2 linked regions of the Mytilus edulis genome follow. The main gene of each other region encodes a partner of the protein of the gene in region 2 in a complex. Links are inferred from orthologs where the notes say so. Each region holds a gene or a part of one and is shown on either strand. Other genes may lie near its edges. The genes, in order: sonic hedgehog protein-like and protein dispatched homolog 1-like.

Region 1 (17,671 bases), on a different chromosome or scaffold from region 2:
TCTTGCATTTTCATTTTGATGAACTAGCTCTTCGTATGTTTAGAAAGTTTTACATCTTCGGATTGCAATTTTTTAAAGATACAATCATTCGAACGCAAACAATTCATAAGCTGTTACTTTCATTTTTATGGAATAGAGTTAAATGTATTCCCTTAAACTATCCACATGTGGAGCAGGATCTGCTTACCCTTCCGGAGCACCTGAGATCACCCCTAGTTTTTTTGGTGGGGTTCGTGTTGTTTATTCTTTAGTTTTCTATGTTGTGTCATGTGTGCTGTTGTTTGTTTGCCTTTTTCATTTTTAGCAATGGCGTTGTCAGTTTGTTTTAGATTTATGAGTTTGACTGTCCCTTTGGTATCTTTCGTCCCTCTTTTTAAAAAGTTAGGATGTATTAACAGGTATTAACATATTGGATGCTGAACTGTACGAATATAACTCATAAGTTTAGAAGATGCATTTTCATACTTTTAAAAGCAACTATTTTTACGACAGTCAAAACGTTGAGGACAATTCCTTGGGTCAACCGTTTATTACACTACACTGTCATTCTGTCACAATATTGTCAAAGATAATTTGTTTAATTTAATTAACTTTAAATACTATTTTGTATTTGTTCAACTGAAATTAAGTGGAGTGTGACATAGTCAGCTGATTTACAACAGTATCACATGACAGTCATGTTATAAAATAACCAGTGTCAAATAGATATTGTCTATCTAATAAATCTTTTAATGAAGTCGACTATGGTAGTATTTATGGTACAAAACGAATCTTTTTGTTCCTTTAAATACTTAATTTTAGTCAATTGACAAGGGTGTCAGTTAGGTACTACTTAATGTGTAGTTGTCAATAGTCAAACGATATTTAACAGACTAAATTGAACTTCAGCTGGTCTTAGATGGAAAAAAATATATAGCGAGTTTAAGGCATAAAGTTAAGGAAATAATTAAATCTATTCTTGTTTATGACAGGAATAATTATTTTTTACTTTTTATTTCGGATGAAAAGAAGTGATAACACCAATTTTGACCACTTGGATTAATAAAAACAGAATAAAAAATTTAATAATGTACTTTATATGTTCTAAAGACACAGTCTGTCAAATATAAGAAACAATGTACTTGAATTTCGTCGCAAACGTTCTTGTATTCATAAAAACACTAGCTCTTCATATCTTCCATTTCATTTTGCAGATATTGACAACAGTCTTACAACAAAATACCTTTGCTGCAGTCCATACATATATTTGCTGTCAATCAAAAAACCTATTTGAATAAATGGATGCACCAGTAGTAAACCAGTGTTCAAAAGTCATAAATCGATTGAGAGAAAAACAAATCCGGGTTACAAACTAACACCGAGAGAAACATCTCAACTATAAGAGGAAAACAAAGGAACATCAGGAACAATGACGGGCAAAACAAAAGGTGGGTTGAACCTTGTTTAATGTCTAGCCCAACTTCGCTTTATGACAATGTTAACAAATACCACTAAAATTACAACACTATGTAGAATCATATTCAAAACAGTGTGGCTGTGGCCATTGATTGACGACCTAAATTATCCCATTGACTGGGACAGATTAGGTGAACGTTTTTCTGTAACGACCACTGCTCACTATGTACTTGTTAAAGACACTTAAACTGTGGGGTCACCAAAGGTTCTCAACACCTAAATGAAGTAATTCGAAAAATTAATCAGGAATAACACGATGTTATGATTTATATCAATAATATAAATCAAAACATAAAGATTATTCCTGATAAATTTTTCGAATTATTTTATTATTGAAGGCGTTAAGAACCTTTGGTTACCCCACAGTTTAAATTCTACAATAAGTAAAAAAACTAGAATCATATTCAAAACAGTGGCTGTGGCCATTGATTGACGACCTAAATTATCCCATTGACTGGGACAAATTAGGTGAAGGTTTGTCTGTAACGATCACTGCTCACTATGTACTTGTGAAAGATACTAAAACTGTGGGCCACCAAAGGTTCTCAAAACCTAAATAAAGTAATTCGAAAAATTAATCAGGAATAACACGATGTTTTGACTTTTATCAATAATATAAATCAAAACATGAAGTTATTCCTGATTAATTTTTCGATTTTTTAATCATTAAAGGCGTTTAGAACCTTTGGTGACCCCACAGATTAAATTCTATAATAAGTATGTAGTGAGCAGTGATCGTTACAGACAAGCGTTCACCTAATCTGTCCCAGTCAATGGGATATTTTAAGGTCGTCAATCAATGGCCAAAGCCACACTGTTTTGAATATGATTCTAAGGCTTTTCTTATCACGGGAATAGATTACATTAGCCGTATTTGGCACAACTTTTTGGAATTTTGAGTCCTCAATGCTCTTCAACTTTGTACATGTTTGGCTTTATAACTATTTTGATCTGAACGTCACTGATGAGTCTTATGTAGACGAAACGCGCGTCTGGCGTTTTTAAAAATTATAATCCTGGTACCTTTGATAACTATTTAAGGATATACTAAGGTGAAATTTTAAAAATCAAGAAATTAAAATATATACTAGCAGTCGAAAGAGCACCAGTATAGGAACAAAATAAGATAAAATATTGATAGTTCATGGAGCTCCTTTTCGAGATATTTGAGTTTTAAAAAATGGCGGCAAAAGGCTGACTCGGTATTCAATTGGTATTATTTTGGTCTCAAATCGATCGAACAGAAATCAAGAATCTGCTTAAATTTTGGGAAAATGACCTTTTATGAGCTATTTAAGTCTTTTATAAAAAGAAAAATGGGTGTTATGGGGCAAAATATTTTACTTTATATAGTAGAAAAAAGCAAGGAGTCCAAACATATGACACCAATTTCCAAAACCTCACCTAAGTACATCCTTAAGGCCTTTCCAAATTTATAGTATTGAACTAACTTGTTACAAGATATTTCAGAAACATGTGTCTTGCCCGCTGAAATCAGTTTCATATTCTGTTAAAATTGGTACTTTGGCAATGTTTTATACTGTACGCTGTCATTTAAAAAACAATTTCAGAAATATTGAAATAGAGCCTTCCAATTATTAGGAACTATAACATTTTGTATGCTTAAAACATCAAGCACAAGTGATATGGTTGAAATAAGACAACAATCCATCAGAGTTTAAATGAATGTGGCTATAAGCCATTATGGGAGACGGTATGCATAGCTGGCAAACAAAATCCATACCGTATAGTCATAGCTTATTTTAGTTTTTGTTGTTTATACAGAAAATCATTGGTGGAATAGTTTTATCCCTAATTAGTATTACTATATAAAGGGAAGTAACTCTATTGTTATGCTGATCCTTTTTCATGTTTTTTATGTTGTTGAATAGATCGATGGAGTATTTGAATGGTTCTACAAAAATGTGAAGAAGTGATAAATTTGTTATAATTATCCTAATGTTTTAGATGTAGAAAATGTTTTAAAAAATGCAAATAAATGATCTGGCATCTCTTAAACTTTTTTTTCAAATTTAATTGTAAGGTTGAAATTCTTTGTATAATTTAGAAAAAAGAAAAAAGAAAAATGTAAAAAAAACCTTGCGGAAAGTCATCAGTGAGTTGCAAAAAGGGGATACACTTTGATATCGCAATTGTCTGTATCATGTAAAACGACTGTCTTCACATTGTAAAATATTTTTGTTATTTATTCGTTTGTGCTTAACTAGTATACATGTACTCGTGTGTATAATTAAAAACCCTGCGTTGTATTACACTAAAAACAATTTATTAACTTGACTAAAAACTAATGTCTGAGGCTCCAATAATAATGATCATAACTCATATGTTTTTGCGTAAATAGTTTGAATTTCTCTTATTTATTTTTGCATTTCATTTTGAGTGATTTGTTGAAATAACTTTTAACAAGAATAACACAATAACATACATGAATATCCATAAATTTTGTAAGCAAATTGTTGTCATTCATCATTGGTTTTAAAAAAAAATCTGTTTATAAAAAAGTCTTTTTTTATAAGTTAAAAGAAGTTACATACGTCGCATTCTTTGATAATAATAAAATATAAGCAATAATTTACTTAAAAACGAAGTTTAATTCAACCTTAAAAACAGCGCGAACTTTAAATTCAACCTTAAAAACAGCAAAACACAAAGACACTGCAATAACCATACCATATATTAGCGGATATCGTGTAGCAACCTACCTAGAAAGTATGTCATTTTTTTCTATTAAGATTTATCTAAAAAAAAAAAAACTCATTACCAGACGTACGTTTTGTTTACATACCGATACGACGACATTTTATTGGCGCTAGAATTAAAAAAAAGTTGGAAGGCTCAATACAACACGAAGTTGAAGAATATAAAAAACAAAAAATATGTACCAAATACGGATAGATCATCTACGTCTGAGGGTAGAAAAACCTCAGTGTTTCGAATTTGATTCAAAGTTTTATTAGAAGCATTGATACTTATGCGCGAGTGATTTCCTCGGGATGAACCTTATGTCCTCCAGCAGTGGCATCGATTTATGAATTGGATAGAAGAGAAGTATGGTTGAGTTTATGACTTGCATTAATGGATTCATACAGTCCAATCTTCCGAACATAGTATGCAACATATGCATGTACAAAAAAAAGCAAAATATCAGCTTAAGAAATGGGTAGAGCATTATAGGTAAAGAAACATATTAAGTATTAATAAGTTAGTTTCACAATGCAAAACAAAGCACTGTACTAAATAAATTTGTCGGTTCGGGCAGCTGCTGTATATTTACCGGTTCAAAACCCAATTTAATATGCAGAAATTATTGAATTCCTACTTAAATATATATAAGAAGATGTGGTATGAGTGCCAATATGACAAATCTCCATCCCAGTCATAATTTGTAAAATTAAGCAATTATAGGGTAACGTACGGTCTTCAAAATATGCTAAGAAGTGGCTTTTGTGCGACTCTATTACTAGTATTAATGTAACGTCGCGAATCCTTAACTTCTAAATTTAAGTTTGATATACCATACAATACCCTGAAATAATTTATAGTAATTTATCATTAATGACATTAAGTGGACGTCAATGCGGAACAGTTGTGTAACAATATGATTAGGTATGCTACTTAGGTAGTTACTGAATCGCACATGAAAGGGTGAATCATTACATACTTATATTTCATTTTAATCTAAAAATGTAATTCATACCTGGCAATCAAGATGTTGCATTTGCAATACTTTCATTCAAAAAAAGTCGTGGAAATAGTAGAACCTTAACAAAATAATTAATACCGCAAAACAATACAACTGTTATTGATGGAATAAGATTTAACATTATATTTCTCTGTATCATTCTGACTTAAATTTAAACAACTGCCTTTAAAGCTAACGAGATAAATATAAAATTGTAAGATTGGAACCGACAAACTATTACAGAAGAGGGGAGAAAGATACCAGAGGGACAGTCAAACACATAGATCGAAAATAAACTGATAACGCAATGGCTAAAAAAGAAAAAGACAAACAGACAAGTATAAGTACACAAGACACACCATAGAAAACTAAGGACTTAGCGGCACGAACCCCACCAACTAAAGGGGGTGATCTCAGGTGCTCCGGAACACGATTGTTAGGTTTATCATTTACTGTTAAAGAAACCAAATGAACTTAAAATACTGTCCAAATTCAAATACATCATCAGAATATCCATCAATTATATGCTATTGAGTTATCGCGCTTGGTTCAACCAAATAGTTCCACGAAGCTAGAATGAACAATTTTATATCGAATAACACTATGATCTAGAACTATCTTTTTATCAATTTGTTTTTAAATCATAACTTGTTTGCATAAAAAAGGAGGAGTTGCTTGATTGCCAATTAGATAACTACCCACGACAATTCAAATGAAGTGGATGTAAGCATTTATAGTATAGGCAACGTATGGTCTTCATCAACGAGAAACCATATTTCATAGGCTTTTGACGGGTGATTATTGGTATCCATGAAGGTGTGGACGTTTTGTATCTGAGATAATCACAAACCCAGAAGTCACCATGTTTTTGTTGACATGAAACACCATTGAAGTGTTCATTTTTTTGTAAATGTACAATGTACAATTCACTAGTAATGTTGGGGCCCTTTATAGCTTGTTGTTCGGTGTAAGCCAAGGCTCCGTGTTGAAGGCCGTACATTGACCTATAATTTATTACTTTTATAAATTGTTATTTGGATGGAGAGTTGTCTCATTGACACTCACATCACATCTTCCTATATCAATGTATTCATTGTTGAACTATTCCAAACACTAAGGTTGTTTTACCACCAGGTAGATTGTGTAAGCTGTATTTGGCATAACGTTTCGGAATTCCATATATTAAAAGCTCTAAATCTCCGTATTATATATGGCCTACCATTTGTTTTAATGCGAGCGCCACTGAAAAGTCTGTAGTAGAAAACAAGCTCGTATAAATTACAAAATTATTAGCCTGGTTTTTTTATGTATGAATTACAAAATTATAAACCTGGTATCTTTGATGTATGAATTACAAAATTATAAACTTGGTATTTGATGTATAAATTACAAAATTATAAACCTGGTATCTTTGATGTATGAATTACAAAATTATAAACTTGGTATCTTTGATGTATGAATTACAAAATTATAAACCTGGTATCTTTGATTATTCTTTTCTGTGTTTCCAATTTATTTTTCTTGAAAATATTATGCCAATCATCATAGAAATAATTTCCATCAATTTAAAAAAAAAATATGCTACTGAGAAAAGAGAAATACATTGGATATTCTTTTTGTTTCCACAATTTGAACGATTTATTTTTGTAAACAATGTTTAAAAAAAATATCCTAATAAAAAATCAACTTACTTTAATGAAAATATTACAATCCAGTCCGTACAAAATCAAGTAATATAAAGGTAAATGTTTCAATTGACAGGTATAGCCTTACGTAAAGTGCGAACGGAAAGATACAGATAGATTACACTGATCACGCTACTGTTTACACTCTACAGAAACTTAAGATGACCTCAACAGAACACCAAGGATGTCAAAATTATTGTATTTGATCTTTAAGGGGGGGGGGGGGTGGATTAAAGTCAGAAATATGGCAGTTGTTATACATTCGTTTGATGTGGTTGAGCTTTTGATTTTGCCATTTGATGAGGGACTTTCCTATGTGCAATTTCCTCGGAATTTTTTTTTTTTTTTTAATACTTTTTAAATCCTTAACCGAATATAAATATATGACTTATCTCTTTTATTCCCTGTATTTATTTTCTTTAAAAAGTATAATCCTGCAAGAAAGAGCAACAAAGTTTTCAAAAATCGACATTAAAGAAAATAGTTGTATGCATATGAATTGTAGAGTCAGTCATACTAAATTTATAAAATATCATTCCAGTTTCTCTAGGTCTGATAAAAAAGGAGATATTTCTGCTGATAATGGATAAGAAAAGTATAACAGTTGTTTTCCAGTCTTTGTATGTGTTTGATTTTGCCACTTTAAAAAGGACATTCCGATTGGAATTTTGTTTGGAGGTCGGTATATTTGTTATTTTACTTTTTACAAAAGGGTATTTTGCAATGGAATGTATGATTGATACCTTCTACTTCAATCATACAGTTTTGTTGAATTCTGGATAACAAAAAGACAAAGATACAATTTAAACTTCAGCGAAAACCTGTACAACTTGCGGAGTGAAAGAAGGACATACAAAAGGGAGAAGACAATAAAATACATATAAAAAAGCTGAGTCTATGAAAGATGAAAAAAGTAGTTGCCAAAAGAAAGCACCACATAAAAACAAAAGATTGAACAGGACAAACCCAATATAAGACGGGTATATCTAAGGTATGTCAATAGAGAACAGCAGTTCCAGCTTTTCTGGCTGACAGTGCTACATTGTTTCAGGAAAGGAACCATGTCACAGATTCTGGTCAAATTTTGCATTCAACTTTGGCCAGTTGAACTACAATTAAATTCGAAAACAATAATGCATTTATCTCTTTTATTTATACAAATATTCCTGAATGATTTGTATAGAAAGGCCTTAAATATACTCATCATAGATTCCCGGATTGAAATTTAGTATTTGCGCTAGACGTGCGTTTCGTCTACAAAAGACTCATCAGTGACACCCCAATAACAAAAAGTTAAAAAGGCCAAAAAAAGTACGAAGTTGAGCATTGAGGACCAAATTAAAAAAAAATATTGACAAATACAAAGTATGTGTAAACTTATGCAAACACATATCTAAATCTGTGACTGGCCAATTTATTGTACCTTGACCATAAAATCTATCAATGTCACTAAGATCAATCTACTTAAGGTTAAGTAATTTGACTACTAGTATATGACTTTATTTAACTGATCATTTGTTTTTCTTACTAGTTAAAGGTAGACAACTCTGAAGTCAAATTGTACAATTCAAAAATAAAAATAACTCTTCAAAAATTCTTGTGTTTCTGACTTTATCCTCATCAGGGAAAGCTCATATCCCTGACTTTGAAAACCAAAGATGTATTTAAAGCTGATTATTGAAAGAGCTTTGTAACCAAAATGAGACAATTAAGAGAATTCAAATCCTTAAAAGGTAAAATTTGTCCGAGGGAGCAAGAATCTTCGTTTTTTTTAATGTCTTCTTAAGTTATCAACGGACAATTTAAGAAAAGTGTGGTAAATGTGACTAAAGTCAGAACATGCTTCATATATATCATTGAAAATAAATAATTCACAATCAGATAGAGTATTGATTATGACTAAGACTTCAAGTGTAGAATAGAAGATATGTCTAGGTGACCGTAGGTGACAAATTCTTTGTTTTCAGATGATCTCATACAATGTATAAAGTCAGCATTTAAATACCATAATATGATAAAATTCCAATTGTACCACATGTTAAGTTACAATGTCAACTACTAATGTCAATCACTACGTTGCAACTCCATCTTTGATAGACAATGATTTGATAAGTCACAGCATGTAATTCCATTATTACCCTCAATTACTGTCACGTGGGTGACAAAAACAATTTTGAGCCTAACAGGTTAAAAGCGGGTCATTTTCGTCTTAACCTTGTTTCGGTATTAAGACGTCTAACGTATATGTACTTGGTATCGATAATCATGAAATTGTTTCATGGTCAAATAAGAAGTTACGAAGCAAATTGTTAAATATCTTGTTGAAAGCTGTAGCTCGACGACTAATTACACTAATTTTATTATAAAACTACTATATATAAGTATATCATAAACTGAAAGCAAACAAATTCCAAATATCTGCAAAATTGCAACAGTATCTATAGCTATATAGATTATAATGTAAAAAAAACATTTATCCTATCATTGGAAAAAAGCATGAAACGTAATAAAAACTTTAGGTAATTATTAAAATAAGGCACAGATACACATTTCAAGTGATTGAAATCTTTGATATCTTCAAATGATTTGTGGTTAACATGGTTGAACATGATCTGTCTCTAGCATTCAATTATATCTGATTATCAATACCTTTTAGGATTTTTGCATACTACTGAAAAATGAACACTCCTATTTATCAAAAACTTTTGGATTTAATTCAAATTATTTTTTTAAAGTTTAAAATCTATTCACACGATTGAAACTTAGCACGCAACGGTTCCCATACAATCGTATATGTTTGTTCTATGAACACTTTTTCGGTAATGTTTACTTCGTGACGGTATTTTTTTCCATGTTATACCTCTAATTCTCCCGTTGCTTAATTACATCTTCGACCCTGTGCTTCTAGTATTGACCAGCAGTGGTTCACTTTAATATGGCTTGCATAAATTTTATGTATAAAAAAGAAGATGTGGTATGATTGCCAATGAGACAACTGTCCACAAGAGACCAAATTGACACAGAAATTAACAACTATAGGTCACCGTACGGCTTTCAACAATGAACAAAGCTCATATCGCATAGTCAGCTATAAAAAGCCCCAAAATAGCAATGTAAAACAATTCAAACGAGAAAACTAACGGCCTTTTTTATGTCACGTTATACAAGTGACAGGTTTAGCTAGCGATAAAACCGGGGTATAATCCACCATTCTCTACATTCGAAAATCCTGTACCAAGTCAGGAATACGACAGTTGTTATCTCTTGGTTTGATGTGTTTGTGCTTTGCCATTTGCTTATGGTCTTTCCTATAAGAATTTTCCTCGTAGTTCGGTATTTTTATTATTTTACTTTTTGCTCCCTCCTATTCGCTTTTTGAATCAGTGTTAGCAAATTTGACAAATGATATGTACCCCACTTTAAAACATTCCAAGATAAGTATTTATTGACGTCGTGCTAGTAAAAAAATCCGAATCAAAAATAGATTAATTTTATATAATTGTTAAACGAATCTCTTGTGTGATATTTCAGTCAATAAAGGTGGTGCACCAAACTGATTAAATTAATTAAAAGGCTATTAATAATCGTGTTAACTTAGTGAATGTGCAATTGTAAATAAATCTCTACCGTGTACACTGCCTTTAATGCATTGCTAATGCAGTCGGAGTTGTCAAGAAATAATATACCGTAAAATTGATGTTAAACGAGGCATTAGCTGGTAAATATCATTTTCATGATTTAATTTACTGTATATGATTCAATAGATTTTCCCCATCAATTTTCATTGTGCCATGTTGTGTGGTCTTTATTTTGTTGTTGTCGATTTCTGTCTGAAAACACATGTTCAGGTGCGATATTATAGTCTAAATGTTGAAAACAATATGATTTTTATGTCATCATTATCAATTTTTCAAACTATAGAATAACATATTCTTGTCGTTAAAAATTAGTTACGTTCGACATACCATATACAGTGAAAATCGCTTTAGCCGAACCTAACATGGATTGAAGATGTTTAAGATATGATTTTTAAGCAAGTTTATGTTTTCATAAAAAAATGAATAGGGGGCTTCGGTGGCCTAGTGGCATTCGACTATAATCTAAATTGATTAGGAGTTTCGGGCACTCTGGTTTCTTCCACCAAAGAAAAACTGACCGCCAAGAAGTAGCACAAAAGTGTTTAAATTGTCGTTAAACATCAATCAGTCAAATCAAGAAGTTATAAAGACATCTATTTAATGAGATATGTAGAAACAATCTTTTGAAATAAATTGAACAGTACTTGATTGTATAATCTAAGTATTTCATACTTATAAAGCAAGAAATAAAATTGAGAATGGAAATGGGGAATGTGTCAAAGCGACAACAACCCGACCATAGAGCAGCTAGACAACAGCTGAAGGCCACCAATCTTTACTTTTGGTTTGCTATTGTTTACTCTTTATAAACGGACTGTTTAAGTTTAAGCATGATTCCGATCTGTACGGATAAAAAAATATTTTCAAGACCTGCAGAACTAGTTAATATCAAACTCCTCTTTTATTCCTACAGGTAGGTATTTCTGTATTGCTAGCATAGAATGTTTTAAAAAAATCTTATCGATGCAAATATGTGCAACTGATTTTGTTGAGAACCATTTGATCTGTTTTGACTATAATTGTACATCTGTATTTTAGCCTTTCCTTTATGTTGATCTCGAACATACCTAATGAAGATCACTGCAAACGTTTCATCATCACATTTGGATCATAAAATATGTGGAAAAAGGAGGTTAACAAAATGTTCTGTAACTTTTTTTAGAAAAGGTATGATATGACCTTGTTTTACGTCTTCAGTGAAAAAAAACTTTTACTAATCGTACCTCTAAGGGAATATACACAAGTTAGTAATGCATTGGTGTAATAAATTTCAGTCACACTTGACTTGTATAATTATTTCAGCCTCTGGTACTGTCTACAATTGCTTCAGATGCATACAGTAGCCGTAAGAAATATTTGACAGGACATTACTAAGGTTAATTTAGGGCCGCGCCAAAATCGATTAATTATCATGGAAAAAGGTTCATTGAGAGCAACTGGAAGGTGAAAACTACATGTTAAGTATTTTCAGTTTACTTAAACTTACTGCCAGCATTTTTGGTGTGGTATTGTTTGAAGATATTGTTATTGGCGTCTGTAATATTTCTATCATATGAAAGTTTGGTTTGAATTAAATGTTTTTATATGACGTCTTGTGCGTTATTCTGTTGGCCTAAAGATTGATTAAAGAAGGTGGAGAGTTGGGTATTCACAAAGCTAGTTCAGCTAAACTACATGTGTATGTACTTCTCCCAAGTCGGGAACACCGGCAGTTGTATAATTCTGAAATAACATTGGTAATTTAACTTTCTAATATAAACAATTTAAAAAAAAAAAGAATAATTGTCGCGCCTTTTGATATAGTTCTTCTATACCTAGATATAGGAAGATGTGGTGTGAGTGCCAATGAGACAACTCTCCATTCAAATAACAATTTATAAAAGTAAACCAGTATAGGTCAATGTATGGCCTTCAACACGGAGCATAGGCTCACATCGAACAACAAGCTATAAAGGGCCCAAAAATTACTAGTGTAAAACCATTCAAACGAGAAAACCAACGGTCTAGTCTATATAAAAAAATGTATTATGTAGCGAAATGATAAATTCATATCAAGGTTTACGTCACGGTTTATTTTGGTTCTTTTCGCAGTCGTCTTTCCAACAAACTCGATTTCTATGAGAGAAAAAAATATGACGACTAAGAGTTATAAACGGTGACTGTTTAAACGTTCATAGCAATTTGCTTGATAAATTCTATATACTTTCAATATTTTAAAATATATAAGTTTATATGTACTCGCTATGAAGGTGACTACAATTTTATCTTTCTAAAATGACTAGGTATTGTACATGTATATATGTCTTTTATCGATATTATAACTACAATTTTATCTTTCTAAAATGACTATGCATTGTACATGTATAACTGACTAAGTGCGTAAAGAATTTGGCGTCGATGGTAGATTTGTGGTAGTCTATGTTAAATGTAAGTACATCTCGTCCAGTCTCGGGGCGTATTTAAGCTTCACAAGTGAAACATGTATTTGTCTATCGTAGTTTGACCCCTTGTTTTTTGCCCAATTGTTGCGTTGCTTTCTTATTGATACAAACCAGCTGTTTTCATTCATACATAAAAAAAATGAACAATTCGATATCAGTCAACATTTATGTATATTATGAGATTGTCAAGAGTTGTTTTGTCTTGCTACATTTAAACTTACTTTAATCGAAAGGTATTATTAAATATACGTTTCTAGGGTCAAAGCTTGTGAAGTTAGGCTCCAAGTTGCAAAATTAATCTATAAGATAGCATTCCCATTAAGAAAACACATTTGACACTATCGCCAAACTAGCACAAATAATAGTAAGAACATTTTGGATGCAGGAAAGCACAATATTGACATTTTTGTAGCAGATACATGTACCTCTTTTCAAAATACCATTTGAAATTATGCTATCGTTTATAACTAAATATTAAGAACAGATCTCAAAAGAAAAGAATTATGGCCTTGATTGATTACTTGTTGTTGTTGGACGTCACATTCGTCACTCTTGTCTATTTTATGAAGGCCAGTTTTGTTGGTGGAGGAAACTAGAGTACCTTGAGAAAACAAACAACCTTCGACAAGAAAACTTGAAATCCTCTTTAATTAAGATGGGAATCGAACGCAACTGTTACAAGCAGGGTTCCAACCCACATCTCAATTGTTGACAGTTGATTGAAGTCGATAGATTAACTACTTTCAATATTCGGAAATAGATACATTAAACAGCTATTGCAATTCTTCTTTTAAAGCGTAAATTGAATAAGTTACCAAAAAAATCAAATATATTTTAAAATAAGTTACAAAATAAAATCAAATATATTTTACCAATATCTGACAGACTAATGTTTTTGTGAGCTCTTATGCTTGATTTTCAAATCCCCCCCCCCGAAAAAAAAACACTATCATACGTTCTCTTTATAAGGCTTTCATTGTTGTTGTACTATAAGGCTTTCATTGTTGTTGTGCGTGTCCAATTAATGTACTCGTTATAAGTTTATTTACTGAATAAAGAAATACAATGTAAGCTGTATTTGCCTTTATTTCATTTAACCCTTCCGAGCTTCAAATTGTTCTTAGAATTTGTAATTATTTCATCTTTTTTGTAAGAGATATCAATGACAAGAAAAAAATAGACAAAACGCTCGCGCGCCAATTCGAATGATTTACCACCAATAATTAACTTCAAATTATGACTTCTTTCAAAGATCACACTGTTTTTGGAGTTCCCCATTTATACTTCAACACACATACATATCCACAACTAAAATTACATTTATTCATAATAAGGGATATTAAAATTGGTGATCCATATTTTGACACCTAATGCTAATTGGCATTTGATAAATCTTTGTTTTTGTTTTACTGTAGTATTTTTTTTACGTTAATGATATCGATATATGTAAATAAAATGAAAAAAAGCTATCATTTATTTTGAATTGATCACAAATGAAAGGAATGTCCTTTAGAGGATTTAGATTATTATAGCTGATGTGTAAGTATAAAATGCAGAAAACCTCTGGCATCAATGTTATGATATGAGATGGGTAACCCGAATAATTCATTTCCATCCCATGATCGACTCTCCAACTCGGAGAAGAGTAGCGGAATGTAACGACTGGATTATTCGAGTTATGATATAAGTGGTAAGTGGCTGATAAAGATAAGTATGTTGTAGGGACTGGGTACATATATTTACAATAATGCAACTCAAAATAGATGACTTTTTACACGTTTGCAAAATTTATTATAAGCCGGTCTTCCACAAGTGAAAATGAATATACCATATCCACCCGTTTATCCCTTCAAAGAAAATCGAATAGTCGACCTCTAAAGGACCTCTTTTTGCATGGGAAGGAGACGGACACTAAATATGAGAATCCGAAATTTTTATAAAGTGGAATAAATTGTCTGATTATTTTTGATATCATAGTATTAATTAAACTTATTGTAATGGATCGAAGTCCTTTTTATTTAAGCTCTGACATTTTACCAAAAGACACGTCTTGAAACTCCGATAACCAATAGAATAATAATGTCAAGATTTGAAATCAACATTTTTCTACTCCAAAAAAGAAGCAATTTTAAACTGTGGCGTATCAAACAAATAACCAAACTAAATATTGAGTAAGCTTTACCTCTAAAACGGGGTTATAAGGTTGATTGATTGTTGGTTGCTTTTTAAACGTCCAGTTGCAAATATTTCATGCATGTACAGGAATGAGTTCTATTATAATTTAAAATTTAGGCGTTTTTAGTCTAACATAATCAATGATCAAAGTATCCAGTACTTTAGTTTTTTGTAGTCTTGTAGTTGCATGTGAGCTTGTCTGTATTCTGATTTAAACCTTAGATTTCAGTTAAAAGTAAAGATGCACAAGTAAAGAGACTTGGTTTAATTGCCATTTAGACAAATATTCACTAGAGACAAAAGAACGAGGATAAAAACAATAGGTTACAATAGGTCCTACAACAATGAGAAATACCTATACCGTATAGTAAGTTTTAAAGGGCCCCATCATAACAAAATATATAGCAATTTAAGATAGAAAACATGCAATAACAATAAACGAAAAACAAACATATTAAAGATGATTAGACGAAAAAAGGCAGTAACTGAATTAATACCTGTATAAAAGTCGAAAAAAGAAAGGTTTGATTAAAATATGAATTTTTAAGAAAAAAGTACTTTAAATGACAAAGTAAGGTGTTGTCCATCATCATATTACTTCAAACGTATTCAATTACTATGACATACCCTACTAATATAGTCTTGAATCGGACTTCAAATTTAAACTGGAATTTATAAAAGTTAAAAAATACCACTTACCCTTTACTGAACAGAATGATCGTCTTCATGTAAAGTTATCCTCATTATCTATTTGTAATTGACATTGATTGCCTAAAACGGCACATTAATTACAAGTATCAGGTAAAAAAAGATGTAATTCATCTATTAATAAGATAATTCACAAGCTTTGAACCCAATATACACGGCGTGGAAATTTTATCCAACTTACAGCAAACTTTTATCTACTATGCAGAGTTTCTTGCGTCTAATGGAATAAGTTTCTTTATTTCTTTACATGTCGTCAAATCCTAACGAAATTGGTTGTTTATATATGAGTTATTTGTATCATAGAAGATCAAGATACGAATATCAGTCTTGTTAAGGCATTTATAGTAGTCAATCTGTTTTAAAAGTACGGAGGAACAGACATCTCAACAGAAAACTGGTATCAATATGGAAATTAACGTCTTTGAAAAGTATTGCGGCAATTATGAAAACATTGATCAATAAACATGCAATCTTTCATTTAACGTGTTATTTTTCTGATCTTTACAGTTTTCTGTCATTTCAAAGTGTCTGATTAATCAATTTGCATGTAATAGACCCAACAAGTCGTCTAGTAAACAGATATTTATGTACTTCAACTTCATTCTGGAAATTGAATACAGTTTTGTTATTGATATACCATGTGAAGGACAGGGTTCCAAACTTTCTATGATAGTTTAGGAATTTCGTTAAGATTAAATGCATTTGACTCTTTGATCAATTGATCAATCAAATTAAAAACTTCTTGCTTTCCCAATTAAATAAAAACCCTAATTACATAAAAACCCATCTTTGAATAAAGTTCCAAAATCATTAGTTGAGTGATAACTGCTGCTAGACGCCCAACAACAACTATAACTTGGGTCTTTTTCAGTTAATGTGGTATTAAAAATAATTGCATTGTTTTAAGCCAACACGTTGAGGCCAATATTAAGTGTGTTACCTTAGAAGGTTTACAGGAAAACATGTTCCCATACTGCGACTTACTAATCTGCCATCTAGCCGTCTTTGTTTTACATCTGCTGTCTCTGTTATACTCTAAATATTCCATTCATGACGAAGAGGCAGAAAATACAAATGTTAGGTTTGACCCATCCAAGTATTTAATCTACATTTGAGTGCAGTCTATTCAGTCGTCACATGTACAGTAATTTAACTTGATGTTCTGTGCAGTAATTTAATTTGATTATATGTGCAGTAATATAACTTGATAACCTATGAAGCAATAAAACTTGATTATCTGTGCAGTAATTTCACTTGATTACCTGTACAAAATTAAACTTGATTACCTGTACAGCAATCTTACTTGATGACCTGTGCAGCGATTAAACTTGATTACCTGTGCAGCAATTTAACTTGATAATATGTGCTACAATAACCTCTGCAGAAATTTAACTTTTACTTGATGAGCTATGAAGCAATTAAACTTGATTATCTGTGCAGTAATTAAACTTGATTATCTGTGCAGTAATTTAACTTGATTACCCGTACAGCGATTTAACTTGTTTACCTTTACAGCAATTTAAAAAGATTACCTTTACAGTAATCTTACTTGATGACCTGTGCAGCGATTAAAGTGGATTACCTGTGCAGCAATTTAACTTGATAATACGTGCTGCAATAACCTCTGCAGATATTAACTTGGTAATTTGTGCTGCAATTTAACTTGGTAACCTTTTCAGCAATTTTAGTTGATGACTTGACATTTATACAAGGTTTTATGACGGCTAGAATCGTAAACAACCATAGTCGAGTAATTCAAAAGAAGACTTTCATATTTTGTGCTTTTAAAGCTGAAGTCTGCTACTAGTTGCAGGCGGTATTGTGACCTATATTTACTTGTAACAATGTTTTTTCTCCATTAAATCC
Region 2 (15,984 bases):
ATTGGCATTTTCAGAATCAAAAGGAATATTTGTAATCTAATTGATGGTACACCCAAAAACAAGAGGCTCTCAAGAGCCTGAATCGCTCACCTTAATTCTTTTGGTTAAATCTCTCATCAATGATTATTTTGGCTTTTCAATTTATTTAAATGTTTTTTGGATCGTCCTATTTTCTTCAAAAGCCAAAAAAAATAATCATTTTCTCCTATGTTCTATTTTAGCCATAGGAGCTATGTTTCTTGACATACAAGGAAATAAAATATAAAATTTATACTAGATACTCTGAAACTCATTTAGCCTAAGTTTGGCTGAAATTGATACAGCAGTTTCAAAGGAGAAGATTTTTTAAAGTAAGTCAACATGATGAACAAATTGTGAAAAAAGTCTTTAAAGGGCAATAACTCCTTAAGGGGTCAATTGACAATTTTGGTCAAATTGACTTAATTGAAGATCTTACTTTGCTGAACATTATTGCTGTTTACAGTTTATTTCTATCTATAATTATATTCAAGATAATAAACAAAAACAGCAAAATTTCTTTAAAATTATCAATTCAGGGGCAGCAACCCAACAACAGGTTGTCTGATTCATCTGAAAATTTCAGGGCAGATAGATCTTGACCTGATAAACAATCTTACCCCATGTCAGATTTGCTCTAAATGCTTTGGTTTTTGAGTTATAAGCCAAAAACTGCATTTGACCCCTATGTTCTATTTTTAGCAATGGCGACCATGTTTGTTGATAGATCATAACTTCGGATACAATTTACAAACTAGATACCCTAAGGAACATTCATTTAAAGTTTGGAAGTATTTGGCCCAGTAGTTTCAGAGGAGAAGATTTTTGTAAAAGATTACTAAGATTTACGAAAAATGGTTAAAAATTGACTATAAAGGGCAATAACTCCTAAAGGGGTCAACTGACCATTTCCGTCATGTTGACTTATTTGTAAATCTTACTTTGCTGAACATTATTCCTGTTTACAGTTTATCTCTATCTATAATAATATTCAAGAAAATAACCAAAAACAGCAAAATTTCCTTAAAATTACCAATTCAGGGGCAGCAACCCAACAACGGGTTGTCTGATTCATCTGAAAATTTCAGGGCAGATAGATCTTGACCTGATAAACAATACTACCCCATGTCAGATTTGCTCTAAATGCTTTGGTTTTTGAGTTATAAGCCAAAAACTGCATTTGACCCCTATGTTCTATTTTTAGCAATGGCGACCATGTTTGTTGATAGATCAAAACTTCGGATACAATTTATAAATTAGATACCCTAAGAAACATTCAGTTAAAGTTTGAAAGTATTTGGCCCAGTAGTTTCAGAGGAGAAGATTCTTGAAATAGTTTACGACGACGACAGACGACGACAGACGACGGACGACGACGGACGCCAAGTGATGGCATAAGCTCACTTGTCCCTTCGGGACAGGTGAGCTAAAAAAGAAGTCACATCAATGGTTGAATTTCCATTGTTTGGGACGTTTCAAACCCCTCATAATGTTTTGGTGTGCGCTTTAGAATATATTTCCCAAAATGCATGAGTAGATATAGGAAGATGTGGTATGAGTGACAATGAGACAAGTTTCTTCAACCAAATAACAATTTATGAAAGGAAACCATTATAGGTCATGGTAAGGTCTTCAACACGGAGCCTTGGCTCACACCGAACAGCAAGCTATAAAAGGCCCCAAAAATTACTAATGTAAATCCATTCAAACGGTCTAATCTATATAAAAACAAGAAACGAGAAACATGTATGAACTACATAAACAGAGGTTTTGAAACAGCCCATTGAACTTGGGTTTAAAATCTTGATCAAATTTGGTTTCTAAGAGCAACTGATGAGAAGAAAACATTGAAATACAAATAGGATTCCTTTTTGATGATGTTGTCTAGTAAATGTAAACTAGCTGTTAATAGTTTAATTTCATCTTGAAAAGTCAGGTAAAGAATGAAAGAACTAGAAATCAAATTTAGATTAAGTCTGATTGATATTTCATTAAATATAATATGCTTGGAAGAAAATTAAATACAGGAATTTCAACAACACTGAAAATATCAATGGTTAATTGTAGCCATTTCTCTATTAATACATACATACCTACATTTTAATCAAAAACTTTGGAAACTTGGACTTCATGGCCACTGAAAATGAGGTAAAAATATTGAAATTGGCCATTATTATATTCATATACCAAGATGTTTTAACGAAAAACAATGTGGATGATACAGTGTGGACTCAATTTTCACAATGCTGTAGTAACAGGTCTGTACAAACCAGCAAAAGGAGGTAAAGGGTTAAAAAAGCACATTGTATTACTTCTGTAGAGTTTGTTGAAATAAAACCTACAGGAGAAGCCAAAGCCTTGGGTGGACAGTGTCAGAAATTTTGTTTTGGAAAAATACTTCCAACAATAAAAGTAACATCAGAAGTATTTCTGTAATATTTAGTCTTAGATACTGTTTCCATGTCTTTTATTAAGGACATAAGTATGACAATCCAACAGAGACCATTTTAACTTGTAAAATATGATTCTAAAAGAAGACAAAACAAGGTCTGACAATGTTTAGTTCAATATGCAATTACTAAGGATGTGTAGAAAATTTCTTGACCAATCAGAGGTTTAGCAGGAGCAAGAAGATGAATAATAAAATGTTAATGAGTAATAAGATCCTAGTTCTCAAAAAGTGTCTGTCCTATTACTCCTCACTACAAATGGGAAAATCTACATATATAGTGCATGGTATGAAATTCCAATTAAAATTTTTTGGTTGATTAAACAAAATAAATATCATAATTATTTAAATTTTCTTGCAAATCACCATCTTTTCTAACAAAGGGTAACAATCTACAATTCAAAGATGAAGCCAGAATGTAACCCCTGGTTTGCATCTAGATGTTTAATCACTAGCACTTATATAAGCTGAGACGCACTATTTTCCACAACTACAAGATCAGTGCAGCTATTTATCAAATGTTTAGTGGAAAATAAGCTCGACAGCTACATTTAACTATTCCTACTATAGCTGTTGAGTAAAGAGAGTGTTGGATAACTTTAATCTGATATAAAGACTATCCATACTAGTGCTCAAAATTCCTCAATTTCATGTGTATGCTTTCTTTGAGGAAGTTTTTAATCATGGTACAGTGTAGTACTTGTATGTTTTCATATTATAACCTTGTTTTGCTTTTATACTGCATGTTCTTTGTTTGTTTTGATGCGTACTACTCTGTTTTGCTTTTTTATATTTTTAATATGTATTTGCTTTACACAATCAAATTAAAAAATCATGTTCTCTAATTTTTGTGCTATTTTTACATTTCCTGACAGGTGTGAGAAAAATATTTCTCCTCACTAGTGAAAAATCTGTTCTCGGCAAATGATTGGTTGAAATCTAATTGTGACGTTAAATTTTCTTGCGTTCTTCTGAATTTTCTTATTGTGACGTCATGAAAAAAGGCAACCATGCCTGATGACGTCACATCAAAAGTACACAACTTTTCTCAAATCTTTGAAAAGGAAGGATAAAAACCAAAAGGGAAACAGATTCCACCACTGTAACGTGTGTATTACGATATTTCTCCACTCTCAACAGTTAAATTTTAATTATTTAAAGAGCTCGGCAAGCCTTGCGCTTTAAATATTAAAATTTAACTGTCTCGAGTGGAGAAATATTGTAATACACTTGTTGCAGTTGTGGAATCTATATTTCTCCCACACATAAGCACCCTTTGATCAGTACATATTATTTTTTAGAGTGCAAATTTTAAACAGAGAATAGTCCATTTGCCAATTACCAATTTGATTTTGTTATTACACACTTTTTAAACGAATTACTTCCCTTTGTGAATCGTAAACTGGTTCCATACCGGACAAAATTGACTTTTGCCAATGCAAAGCATAGCAAATTGAAAGTGGTGTATCGGCGGTTCAACTTATTTTTCACGAAAAATAATTTCGCAAAACAAAAGCATTTCGCTTAACAACAATTTCATGTAATTAAAAGATTTGAAAACCTTAAAAATTACTCACATTAGGCAAAGGGAAATTTGCTCTTTCTGCTAGCTCCCCATTGTAAATAAAAATTAATGTCCCTCATAAGGGAGAAAAGGGGATCTCTATATATATAGCTAATAACAGGGTCAATTTACCGGAATTGGCAAATAGCCTATTGTATAAATAAAAATAATCACATTAAACAATCATCACGGAAAAGATGTTATCTTGGTCCTTAAACTAGGTGACGTCATAAGTATGCTTCCGTCATCAAACATAAATTCCAGGTGTTTTTTGGCTTCTTTGCCGCTTTAGAATGTAATACAATTTGATAAAATGAAGATTTTTAGGTGCAACATGTAAGTTCTTTTGCTTATTATTATAGAAATTACATGTTTGTACATTCCACACTTCAAAATGTCTGCTTCCTTAGTTACAGACAAAGAGATTAAGAATGAATTTTACGCTTACTGTCATCCAATCAGAACCATTGATACAAAATATTTGCATAAGAATATATCTATTGACTTTTTTTTTTTGTAGTCTCTCATACCAGGTAGAAAATACAAAATGTACATGCAGATAATTTTTTAAGTTTTTTGGGTTTGTTTTTTTTATTATTCTATTTTAAGGAGGCTCGAGGGTATAAAAATTTCAGAAACAATTAAACATTTGTTTTTCACTACAAATTTTATTTATTACCTTTTGTAGTTGTTACTTTATCATATGGTACAATCAAAGAGCTGAAAGCTCTGAAGAAAAATGACGCCACTGTCTCTAATATTGGGATAGTTTTTATGCAAGTCTTGATTTTCACATACCATAATTAGTTTAACAATGCAACATGTCTCGTAAGCATATAATTGATATTCGTATATGTGTGTGTGTGAAGTGAAGGTGCCAACTGGCTGGTGTTTTTTTTAAGACAAATGAATAGGTCAAGACTACCTGAATTGTACAAATAAATACCGTAGAAAGGCTTCTATATTTCTCACTGGTACATAGGCTAATCCGGGTCCGTTCGCGCCCATTCACGTTTGCGCCAACTCATGTTCGCCCCCTTTCACTTTCACACCCTACATGTTCGCAACTAATCTTAATTGGTTTTGTGTTTAATAACTCTGTAAGCAAGTGTTTTCTAATAAGTATAATTGTTGTCATTGTCTCAAAATAAAGTGAGACAGCATTTTTTTTTGTGTTGAATAAATCTTAATCATGTTTTGGATAGCGTATTGTTAAAGATAATAATAATCCTTTCTAAATAAAGTGGTATTTTGTCAACGTTTTATTTAGCGTTGAATAACTCTTAATCATGTTTTGGTTAGTGTATTGCTATACTTTGTTTCATTGACCTCTTTCATAATGAAGTGAGATTCTGACTATTTATTTTTCTGTGTGTTGAATAAATTTTGTCATGTTTTGGTTATAATAGTGGATTGCTATATTTTGGTTCCTATATATTTTATTGTTTCGTTGTTTCAGATCAAAGGGCTTAAAAACAATTATCTTTTGTGTTTTTCCTTTAAAATCTTCAATGTTTTACTCATACCAAGCTATAAATACATTCAGAATTTACACCAAAGCAATTTAAAACAACAATCATGATTTTCCAATTATTCAACTTGAATTTGAATTAAAATTGGGCGCGAATGAGTAGAGTGCGAACGGACCTTGGGTGTGAACGTGCGAGGTGTGAAAGTGTATTGGGCGCAAACAGACCTGATACCACATAGTCTGAACCCCCTTCTCCCGCAAAATATGAAGTAAATTAAAAACAAATTGTTCAGAGAACAATTGAAGTCTTTCCACTAGAAAAGATCTATTTTTATATTGAAATATGAAAAATCAGTTTAAAATGTTAGTTCCTATGGCTTTATGACGTCCTATTAACCTCTGACCTTGACCTCAATTTCAAGGTCACAAACCATGGACCTTGAATCAAAATATCCTAGGTCTTTAATATGTTTGGTTAATGAGTACTACCACTTGACGCATAATTTTAAATGTAAGATGGACAAAAACTCCCTTTTATTGTATGCGCAGCCTTTCAACCAAAATATACAAGTAAGGACATGTCGCAACTAATAATTTATGAAAAATTATTTGTCAAAATGTCATACAGTACTAGTATTTGAAAAGAAGTGAAAATAAGCCAAAATCAAAATTTATAATATGACCTTGACCTTTGACATTGACCTCATTTTCATTTTTAGTACCAATGACCTCATGAAGACCCTAGGTCTCTATCAGTTATGGTTTACCAGTTGAAAATGCATATCGCTTGAATCAAATGAAAAAGGGGGAATAACTCTCATATGGAGTCCCCATAGAGCTATGGTTCAAACGAATATTCTTATCCTAAATATGTAACGAGCAATTTGGTAAAATAAAATCTTTTACGGTTACGAAGGAGAGGTGGCCACAAGAAAAACAGTGTTTGGGGAGATAACTCTTACAACGTAATGTATTTTGTTATAATTACATTTGATATATGTTTCATTATAATACTTTATTCTGATTGGCTAACTGCACATCACATGTTATTCCTCAAGCAATTGCATCACTCAATAAAACTTTTCATTCATGATAACACGTGGTCCCACAATAAAGTGCACAGATGAATTGAATAAAAAAGTTATAAAATTCGTGTTTTCATGATCCTAGCTAAAAAAAGTAATTATAAGTATTGAATGTTTTTTTTTGTAACCTCATAGGGTTGCAAAAGCGTTGACCGTGTGCACATTTTTAGAATGATGCGCTTACGCTTACGCGCTTCATACAAAAAGTACTTCGGTCAACGCTTTTACACCTCAATGAATTTACAAAAAAAAAGCATTCAATACTTAAATGCAGTTGTAAATTTTTAAAGCAAAAAGAGTTAATACTAACTTTCACTTTTTTGGATGTTCATGTACATTTTGTATGTATTTATTTTTCTCAACTACATGAATTTTTTGGTGTATTTTTAATGATATATATGAGTAGTCCAAATAATTATTACGTCTGGCAAGGCTTTTTAAATTTTATTCTGGGACACCTTCCTATGACCACAAGGCTATGTTAATTTTTTTCTGGGACGCCTTCTTAGGAAGCCTTCCTACGAACGTCTTAGGAAGGCGTCCCAGAAAAAAATAAAATAGCCTTGTCAGACGTCATTATTATTTGGACTAATACATGAGATATTGGATATTTTTATGCATTATTTAACCAGTTGAGTCTTTTACAGGATTGTTTGTTTAATGCTGTTTAAACATTACTGAAAAAAAAACCACCTTAAATTTGCTAATTATTTGGCATGACAGTTTGATTTATTGAAAGGGACTCATAGTTTTCCATTTAATTTTAATAATTGTCTAATGGTTAAAACAATAGCTTCGTTGTTTACTTTTATACACAACAACATATTCACTTTGGTTTCGTTGTTTACCTAATATTCACTATGTACTTGGTAACAGTTATTAATTAATTGAATAGAAAATATTATAATAAATATTATTGGAAGCCGAATTGACGTCAAATAGGTGCCGATTTGACTAGATGCCAATTTAACCAGGTGCCGACTTGACTTGTACGTTTCAATTCCTCTGCGATCGTTTGCGGTATTTTCTTGAGAAAACCTATTTTCCATCATCAAAGAGAAGAAGAAACTGCTTGAAATGATTCCCGAACGCTTCGTGATTGTTAAAATTAGTTTAATTCACTCAAAAAACAATTTTAAAACTTGCGATGTTTAAACAGGAAGTTTCAAAAGCACGTGTAAAAGAAGAAATTAACCGGTGAGAGTGGAAATCCGTACATAACATATATCACTTTAGTACGACTTTTAAAGCAAAACAGTTTCATCCTTTTGTAAAACAGTCTTTAATATACCTATCACATTAATGTTTGAAGGGTCTTAAGCTTATTCAACCCATATAAGTCGGTATGAAACAACAAAACGGAATGATAATAACCGATTACGTTTTGTAGTTTACAAAATTCTGGACTGGTTCCTGTCAAACTACAACACTTTGTTCGACTGTAGTGGAATACAAACAGATACCAGTTGGTTTGTAAACTGGTTCCTGGCTGATTACTACACAATGCTCATGCATAATGATAACACAAGCACATTCCAGTTTGTATTGAAATTAGTAAATACGAAACCAAGCGCGGTAGGCAGAGAAATCAGGTCGGCAGTTATGGAACAATGACTGCGTCATTTTCCAAAAATCATTCAAAACAATCAATTCGTGTTGGCCCCAGATAACATTTAAAATGTGTACATCATTGAAAAAGTTCCAAATTATCTCCCTTTGGTGGAAAAATGCCCTTTTTTGGCTTTAAAATTGAAATATCTTTTTTAACTCATCGGTGACATATATTTTTTAATATAATTTCCATATAAGCTGTACTTAAACTAAATTATTGTAAAATTTGAGCTATTTCTGTAATAAATTTCTTTTTTTATTTCGATATTACCTATATTTCTCCTATTACTTCAACCACCTTTACAAAAATGTATGCTTCTTTCGAAGGCAGATTGTGAGCGCAAATGAACGGTGACCCCACTTTTTTATTTTAATTTTCTATTAACTATAAGATAAAGTTCATTTATAGAAAAATATAGAGAAATCCTATATAAATGATTTAGACCCGCAAACCCCCTTAATAAAAAAAAATCGACAATATTAATATTAATTATTATCATTATTATTATATCAGTGAGGGGGGTTAGGAGGGGTCCTGATCCCGAAATCCCGGGCTTAAAAACACGATATCCTGAAATCCCGGGCTAAAAAATACGAAATCCCGAGGTCTGGAAATTCGAAAAATAGAATTCCCGGATCCCGAAATCCTGAGCTTAAAAACACCTGATCCCGGAGTCCCGATAAAGGTCCTATCCCCCCTCATCAGTGGCGAATCCAGCCATTTAAAAAAAAGGGGGGGTTCCAACTATATGTCCCCATTTAAATGCATTAATCGGCCAAAAAAAAGGGGGGTTCCAACCTGGTATCAGTCGACTGGCAAAAATCTCAAATGCGTTTGTCAGTAACTTCGACATATATTCCCAGTGAAAACAATTTAAATAAACGTTTAATAAAAAATAAATCAAAATTAAACTACAAAGGGGGGGGGGGGGGGGGAGGGTCATTCGGAATACTCCCACTCAGGGGCACCCAAAGGGTATCCTGTCCACAAGTACCTGTGTTTGGGATGACATTTCTCGTGAAATTTCTTGTATGGCCCATGTATAATGTACTGAATGTTTCAGAAATGATATGTACAATTCATATAGATTCATACCCATGTCTTTGTGGGGAGTTTGACCAGACAACTATTGCTAAGACTTACAGACGAACCAATCCTGTAAAATATCTGGTAGCCTAACTTGGATGTATCAGGTACCAGTTGTACTGGTATAGCCAATAACCATATTCTTTTGTCAACACAAAGGTTGACCACTAAGGCCAACTTTGATCATATACATAGACTAGTATCATAGTGTCTAAGTTAACATGTATAACTACGTTATATGGACCCTTATAGGGGGCGGATTTAGGCGGGGGCAAAGTGGGAAGAGGATTGGCTCATGTCCAGCAGCAGCAAAGTGGGAAGAGGATTGGCTCATGTCCTTCCATCCGGACAAGTGTTCAGTCCTCCAAGTAACAATAAAGAAAACACCTCTCCCATATGACTACATCTTACATGGGCACACTTTGCAAAAAGAAACATCTACCAAATATCTTGGCTTAACCATACAAACTGATTTAAAATTTAACAAACACATAAATAACATCACAGCAAATGCAACTAAACAACTAAATTTTATCAAAAGAAACCTTAAAGTCAGCTCGCAGTCAGTTAAAGAAAAGGCCTATATCTCACTTGTGAGACCAAAGCTAGAGTATGGTAGCTGCATCTGGGACCCACATACAAAATCCCAAAAATCACAAATAGAAATGGTCCAAAGACGCGCAGCCAGATATATATGTAATCGATATCATAACACCAGCTCTGTGACAAACATGCTTAACCATCTTAACTGGCCAACACTTGAAATTAGAAGAATAAGAACAAGGCTTATATTTTTCTTCAAAATTATACACCACCAAGTAGCAATATACCCTACGAACTTGTTAATACCATCAGACAGTCGAACAAGACAATACACTCATAGTCACTCATTCAGGCACATACAGGCAAAAAAAGACTCATATAAATTTTCATTCTATCCTAGGACAATCGTCCAATGGAAACTTTTACCAGTTACTGCTGTCCAATGCACCACAGTTGAAACATTCAGAGAACAGATTCCTATATCTGTTCTCAACCAATACTACACCATGTAATGTAACACCTTGTAAATAGTTTTATCTTATATGTACAGTGAAAACCAAAAACAAGTTATTATTTCTTTATTCAATTTTTGTTGTTGATGTAAATATAAAATTGTAAATTTTACCCACGCATGCACGGCACATAGTCATCAATATTATGATGGAGTGCGGAAACTAAAAGAAGAAGAGAAGAGGGGGCGTGGCGGGCGTGCTCCCCCTAAAATTTGCAAAGCATGGATTGTCTTCAACTTATTAGACCCCCTTAATAAAGTATCAGTAGAGATCATTCCATCTTTTTTAACATTCAAAGTATATAAAACAGTCAGTTTAGTATAATCAACGTGATTACTCATCAACTGACCTACGATTTATTTAAGTCTCTATGTCTATATATATATTCAAGTCTCACTTGCAACCTAAACATTTGCCGAATGTATATGAGGGGGGGCAAGGGGTTTAACTGTTATGCTGTTATGGGGCAATTTAATTCTTTGTTATCTGTTATTCTGAAAACTTATTTGCTGTTAGCTGTTATTGTCTTATTCTTTGTTAGCTGTTGTTGGGCTTTTAGTTTTTTTGTTATCTGTTATTGTGATAATTAATATATTCGCTGTTAACTGTTATTGGAAATTGGAATGTTAGCATTTTTTGACAGCAATTAAATTTTCAGAAATTGAAGATTATTATACATTGGGGTCTACCACTACTAATATGTAGGTCCTGTATTCGGAGAAGGATTCCATTAACATATACCCATCACAGAAGTGAGGTCAAGGACAATTCCAGTATATCTTATGATTATCCTTTGTAATAAATTCCATTTTTTTGGAACATGCACATGTATTCCCCTAACGGGAAGGATTGTGCCTGATGTTCATATGATGAAATCATAATCTTTCAGTCAGTTTAATTGAAGTCTGGAGCTGGCATGTCAGTTAACTGCTAGTAGTCTGTTGTTATTTATGTATTATTGTCATTTTGTTTATTTTCTTTGGTTACATCTTCTGACATCAGACTCGGACTTCTCTTGAACTGAATTTTAATGTGCGTATTGTTATATGCGTTTACTTTTCTACATTGGCTAGAGGTATAGGGGGAGGGTTGAGATCTCACAAACATGTTTAACCCCGCCGCATTTTTGCGCCTGTCCCAAGTCAGGAGCCTCTGGCTTTTGTTAGTCTTGTATTATTTTAATTTTAGTTTCTTGTGTACAATTTGGAAATTAGTATGGCGTTCATTATCACTGAACTAGTATATTATATATTTGTTTAGGGGCCAGTTGAAGGACGCCTCCGGGTGCGGGAATTTCTCGCTACATTGAAGACCTGTTGGTGACCTTCTGCTGTTGTTTTTTTCTATGGTCGGGTTGTTGTCTCTTTGGCACATTCCCCATTTCCATTCTCAATTTTATTTAGAATTATCTTATTTTTTTTGTATGAGGATAATGTTCCTTGTTTCCCATGCGAACATATTAAATAAGAACAATTCTTTATATGACAAAAAGGAAAACATATGGTCAGGAATATCGTTCCCGGGCCCTACTAAACTATGTATTCTACTTACTAACATACTAGCCGATTAAAAAAAAAAAAATAATTGTTAAGATATATTATTTATTCAAATGTTCTCTTATATCCTTGAGGCATCGTCCCCTGGTATCAACTGCATTCAAGTTACCTATGATGCTTCCTTGTTTGCTTTTGATACAGGTAGGAAAGAGACATTTACACACATTTTACATGCCTATGGCCCATAAGGTATCGCCCCCTGGTGTCAGCTGCCTTTAGGAAACCATAATGCTTTCCTATTTGCTGCTGACACAGGATGAGTCATGGACATGTTTAATTTCTACTTTCTTTTTGGCTAATTATTATATATTTAATTGATCCAACTTTTTGTGTACTATACATATGTGGATATCTATTTTTCTTTTTTTCTTTTTGGGCTGCTTGTTTGTTATCTATATCAACCACACTTGCAATAAAATGCATTAGTATTTAAAAAAAAAACATACTATAGATTCTTTATCTACGTATTCTTTAAGAACTTAAATAGTTCTCGTTTAACTTTTTTTTTTTTTTTTTATCTCATTGTTTGTATTGTATTATGAAAAAATTATTGATGTTGTAATGTTTATGCCCTTTTGGGCCCATAATTGGAAAATAAAATATCTTATCTTATCTTATCTTAGTACACTTGGTGCAATCAAAAACCTAATAAAAAATTGTTCAAATTAAGCCTTTGAAAATAGTGGAATGAATTACTTTTGGAGTGTCAAAATTTTTCGAGGTACTTGATAAATTGCATGCTTATAATTGGTGCTTTGGATTTTTCTACCCTATATATACCACTTTGCCTCATAGTCTTATTAAGAAAAATTCACACACCTCATTAAATGGGCATTTAAAAAAAGTCAGAATGCGAATATATATATTCAAACTCTTTTAGGTCATTTTTTAGTAGCAACAAACACAAGAACTATGTCAATTGGACCTGCTTTGATACCATAACTGCCCTTGAATTTTTACTAGATATCATTTTTGTCTCTTTGACCCTCATTTCCATTCTCAATTTTATTACACACTATTTAAATTACAAGCATGTGTGAGTTTCTATAACTTTACAAAAATAAATGCTGAAAAAAGTATTCTATAACAAATAAACAGCTACGCCATGAGCGCATGATACGCCGTCTCCCTTTTTGAAATATTTAATAACTTCTTTATGTCATATCAGATATTTATAAAAATCGAAAGGGAGCTTCAGTCAATATATATAAACAACACACCAAAGTTTCATGAGAACTGCTGAAAACATTTTTAAGTTATTGTCCGAAAACTGGAAAATTATATACCATCTTTTTTAATGAATAAAACCCCTTAACTCAATAACATAAAATCTAAAATTAATGAAAATAGAAATGACTCTTACGTAACAACAATAGCTATAAACAATTCAGCAAAGTTTTATGAGAACTGCTGAAAACGTTTTTGTGTTTATATCCGAAAACAGGAAAATACCCGCTTTTTAATTAATAAAACCTCTTCACTCGGAAAGGTGAAATCTAAAATTTATTAAAAATTGAAAGGGGGCTCATGTCAATAGATATAAACAATTCACCAAAATTCCTTACAAATTTGTGAAAGGATTTTTGAGAAAAAAAAACCAACCATTTTTATTGAATAAAACCCCATTAATCAGAAACTTAAAATCTAAAATTTATAAAAAAAAACAAACGAAGGGGAGCTCATGTCAATATATATAAACAATTTCCCAAAATTTTATGCAAATTGGTTAAAGAGTGTTGGAGTTAATGTTCGACATGTTGACGACAGACACACAACAGTATTCCATTATACGTCCCGTAAATGAGGGTATAAAAATATATTGAGTAGTAAACACATTTTAAATACATAATTTTAAAAACATTCATTACAAAGGATTATACCTGCAATAAGAAATACTGGATTTGTCAAGGACCCGACTTTTTTTAATGTTTCATTTACTGTTATCTGTTTTTGTCCATTTTAATTCCTTGTTATCTGTTATAAGCCAAATGAAATTGCTGTTTTGCTGTTATTGGGGCCCCCTTGCCCCCCCCCCCCCCCCCCCTCGTATATGCATGCATGGGATCCCCATAAAATAAACATAACTTCGTAAATGCATCTTATTCTGATTTTAGTGGTTTATGGAACACAGTATATATAATGTCTGGCACGACCTCCGAAAATCAAAAAAAGTAAAAACAGATATTATAAGTAAGTAAGTAAGTAAGTAAGTAAGTAAGTAAGTAAGTAAGTAAGTAAGTAAGTAAGTAAGTAAGTAAGTAAGTAAGTAAGTAAGTAAGTAAGTAAGTAAGTAAGTAAGTAAGTAAGTAAGTAAGTAAGTAAGTAAGTAAGTAAGTAAGTAAGTAAGTAAGTATCTTGCTAAATACCAAAACATAAATATATGAAGCACTAATACGGGAATAATTTTAAAAATTTGCAGTTTCAATTTTTTGTTTCGGTAGTATGAAAGGACAATTCAGTAGAAATTTTCGTTTGCAAAATCTATTACTAGTATTGGTCAGGTGGGCTTTTGTGATCTATCTCGTCTCACTTTGCGTCCATCGGTTCGACCGTCTACACTTCGCATTTCCATCGTCTTAATCAAGTTTGCCAGGTCTGGTGTTATGGAGTGTCAAAGTAATTCTTAAAGGCATATATTGTCATAGGTGATCTAAGGTAAAAATAATTCAAGAATTCAAAATTGATACTTTAACCTGGAAGTGTATTAGTTAAGGATAAAAAAAGCTAAAAATATTGATAAGTCATGGAGCTCCTTTTCGAGATATTTGATTTATAAAATATGGCGGGGAAAAGCTGATTCGGACCTTTACCTTATATTTGCATTGTTGTGCATTTTATAGGGAAGACAATTTATTCTCATCTCGTCTAATACCAGCTTTCCATTAAATATTAGATGGATTGATTTGATAAAATATCCACGCCAATACTAGTAATTACCATTATATAAGGATGTGAAGGATTTAAGAAAAAATCGTTTCAGTTCAGAAAGCCTATCTTCAACTGGAAACATGTACTCTCAACTTTTTAGTAATTGGCAAACTAATATGCAATTCAATTAATGTAGATATAAAATAGAATTATCTTCTTTTGCTGTTTTTATGACTGGAAACAATTTAATATAATCATAATGTATGGACTTCAATATCATATTTTCACAAAGTATATGCAGTGGATCTCGTACGTAAAATAGGTTTTTTTTATGACTGTGGCTACATATATGTATATTGGAAACACACAATTGAATTAATAAGTAATAATAAAATTGAGAATGGAAACGGTGAATGTGTCAAAGAAAAACTGAACAACCCAACCAAAGAGCAAAAACAGATAAATGCCACCAATGGGTCTTGAACCCTACAAGAAAATCCTGCATTTGGAGTCGGGCTTTAGATGACCCCTAATCATGAATATACTAGCTCACCCAAAATGGACACCACAAAAAACTCTAAAATTCATAAATAAATCGACATTAAATAAAAACAAACAGACCTAGAGTCCCAAGTCCTCCGTGTTGCACATGTTTTATAGTGTATAAGGGCAATAACTAGATATCTTTAAAACCATTTCAAAATGTCTTCGAGATGTAAAGGCTTCAGAGCAAATGCAATGCGATTTCCGTTATAATCAATTTTTCCAAGAGGCTCAAGTTGACTCGTTTAAAATATTTGATAAACACTGATTTTCAAAAGTATCAAAGGCATTGCTGATATAAACCTATGATACAAATTTCACAAAATTCTGACACGAAATGTACATATGAGAGCACTATCAACGCAACTGTCCATACATCAATATATCCAAGGGACAATACGATTTCAAAAACCAACTAATCTGCACTGATTTTTTAAGTGTCGGCCTGAGACATTAATGATATAAACCTATTAAAGAAATTTTATTATATTGGTAAAAATTAATCACATAAGAGTGCTAATATTGCAATTTTCCTTATAATCAATATTTTCAAGGGTGTAACTCATTTAAAAATAATTAATCGGCACGGATTTTTTTAAATTGAACTCGTCCAAGGCATTGCTGATAAAAAAAAACCTGATATAAGTTTCATAAAAAAATTTACAAAAATAGTACAC

What was found.
Region 1: the proteins of protein dispatched homolog 1-like (region 2) and sonic hedgehog protein-like are in contact, whole or in part, in a cryo-EM structure (PDB 6TD6), measured with the Drosophila melanogaster proteins. The link is inferred for Mytilus edulis from reciprocal best matches to the Drosophila melanogaster genes disp and hh. Residues at the interface, in NP_524734.2 of Drosophila melanogaster: His77, His78, Arg250, Tyr253, Glu296, Ala404, Gln405, Ser406, Asn407, Arg408, Gly434, Asn755; in NP_001034065.1 of Drosophila melanogaster: Tyr100, Pro101, Val103, Leu104, Lys105, Gln106, Thr107, Asn110, Leu111, Ser117, Glu164, Lys165, Val168, Ala228, Gly229.

The regions. Positions count from the first base shown.
Region 1 is NC_092345.1:55,464,526-55,482,196, forward strand, and holds the start of sonic hedgehog protein-like, read right to left. Parts: upstream 6,902-17,671; 5' UTR 6,850-6,901; intron 1-6,849.
Region 2 is NC_092346.1:63,236,081-63,252,064, forward strand, and holds the start of protein dispatched homolog 1-like, read right to left. Parts: upstream 9,390-15,984; 5' UTR 9,295-9,389; intron 2,156-9,294; 5' UTR 2,112-2,155; intron 1-2,111. UniProt on the Drosophila melanogaster protein: Segment polarity protein which functions in hedgehog (Hh) signaling.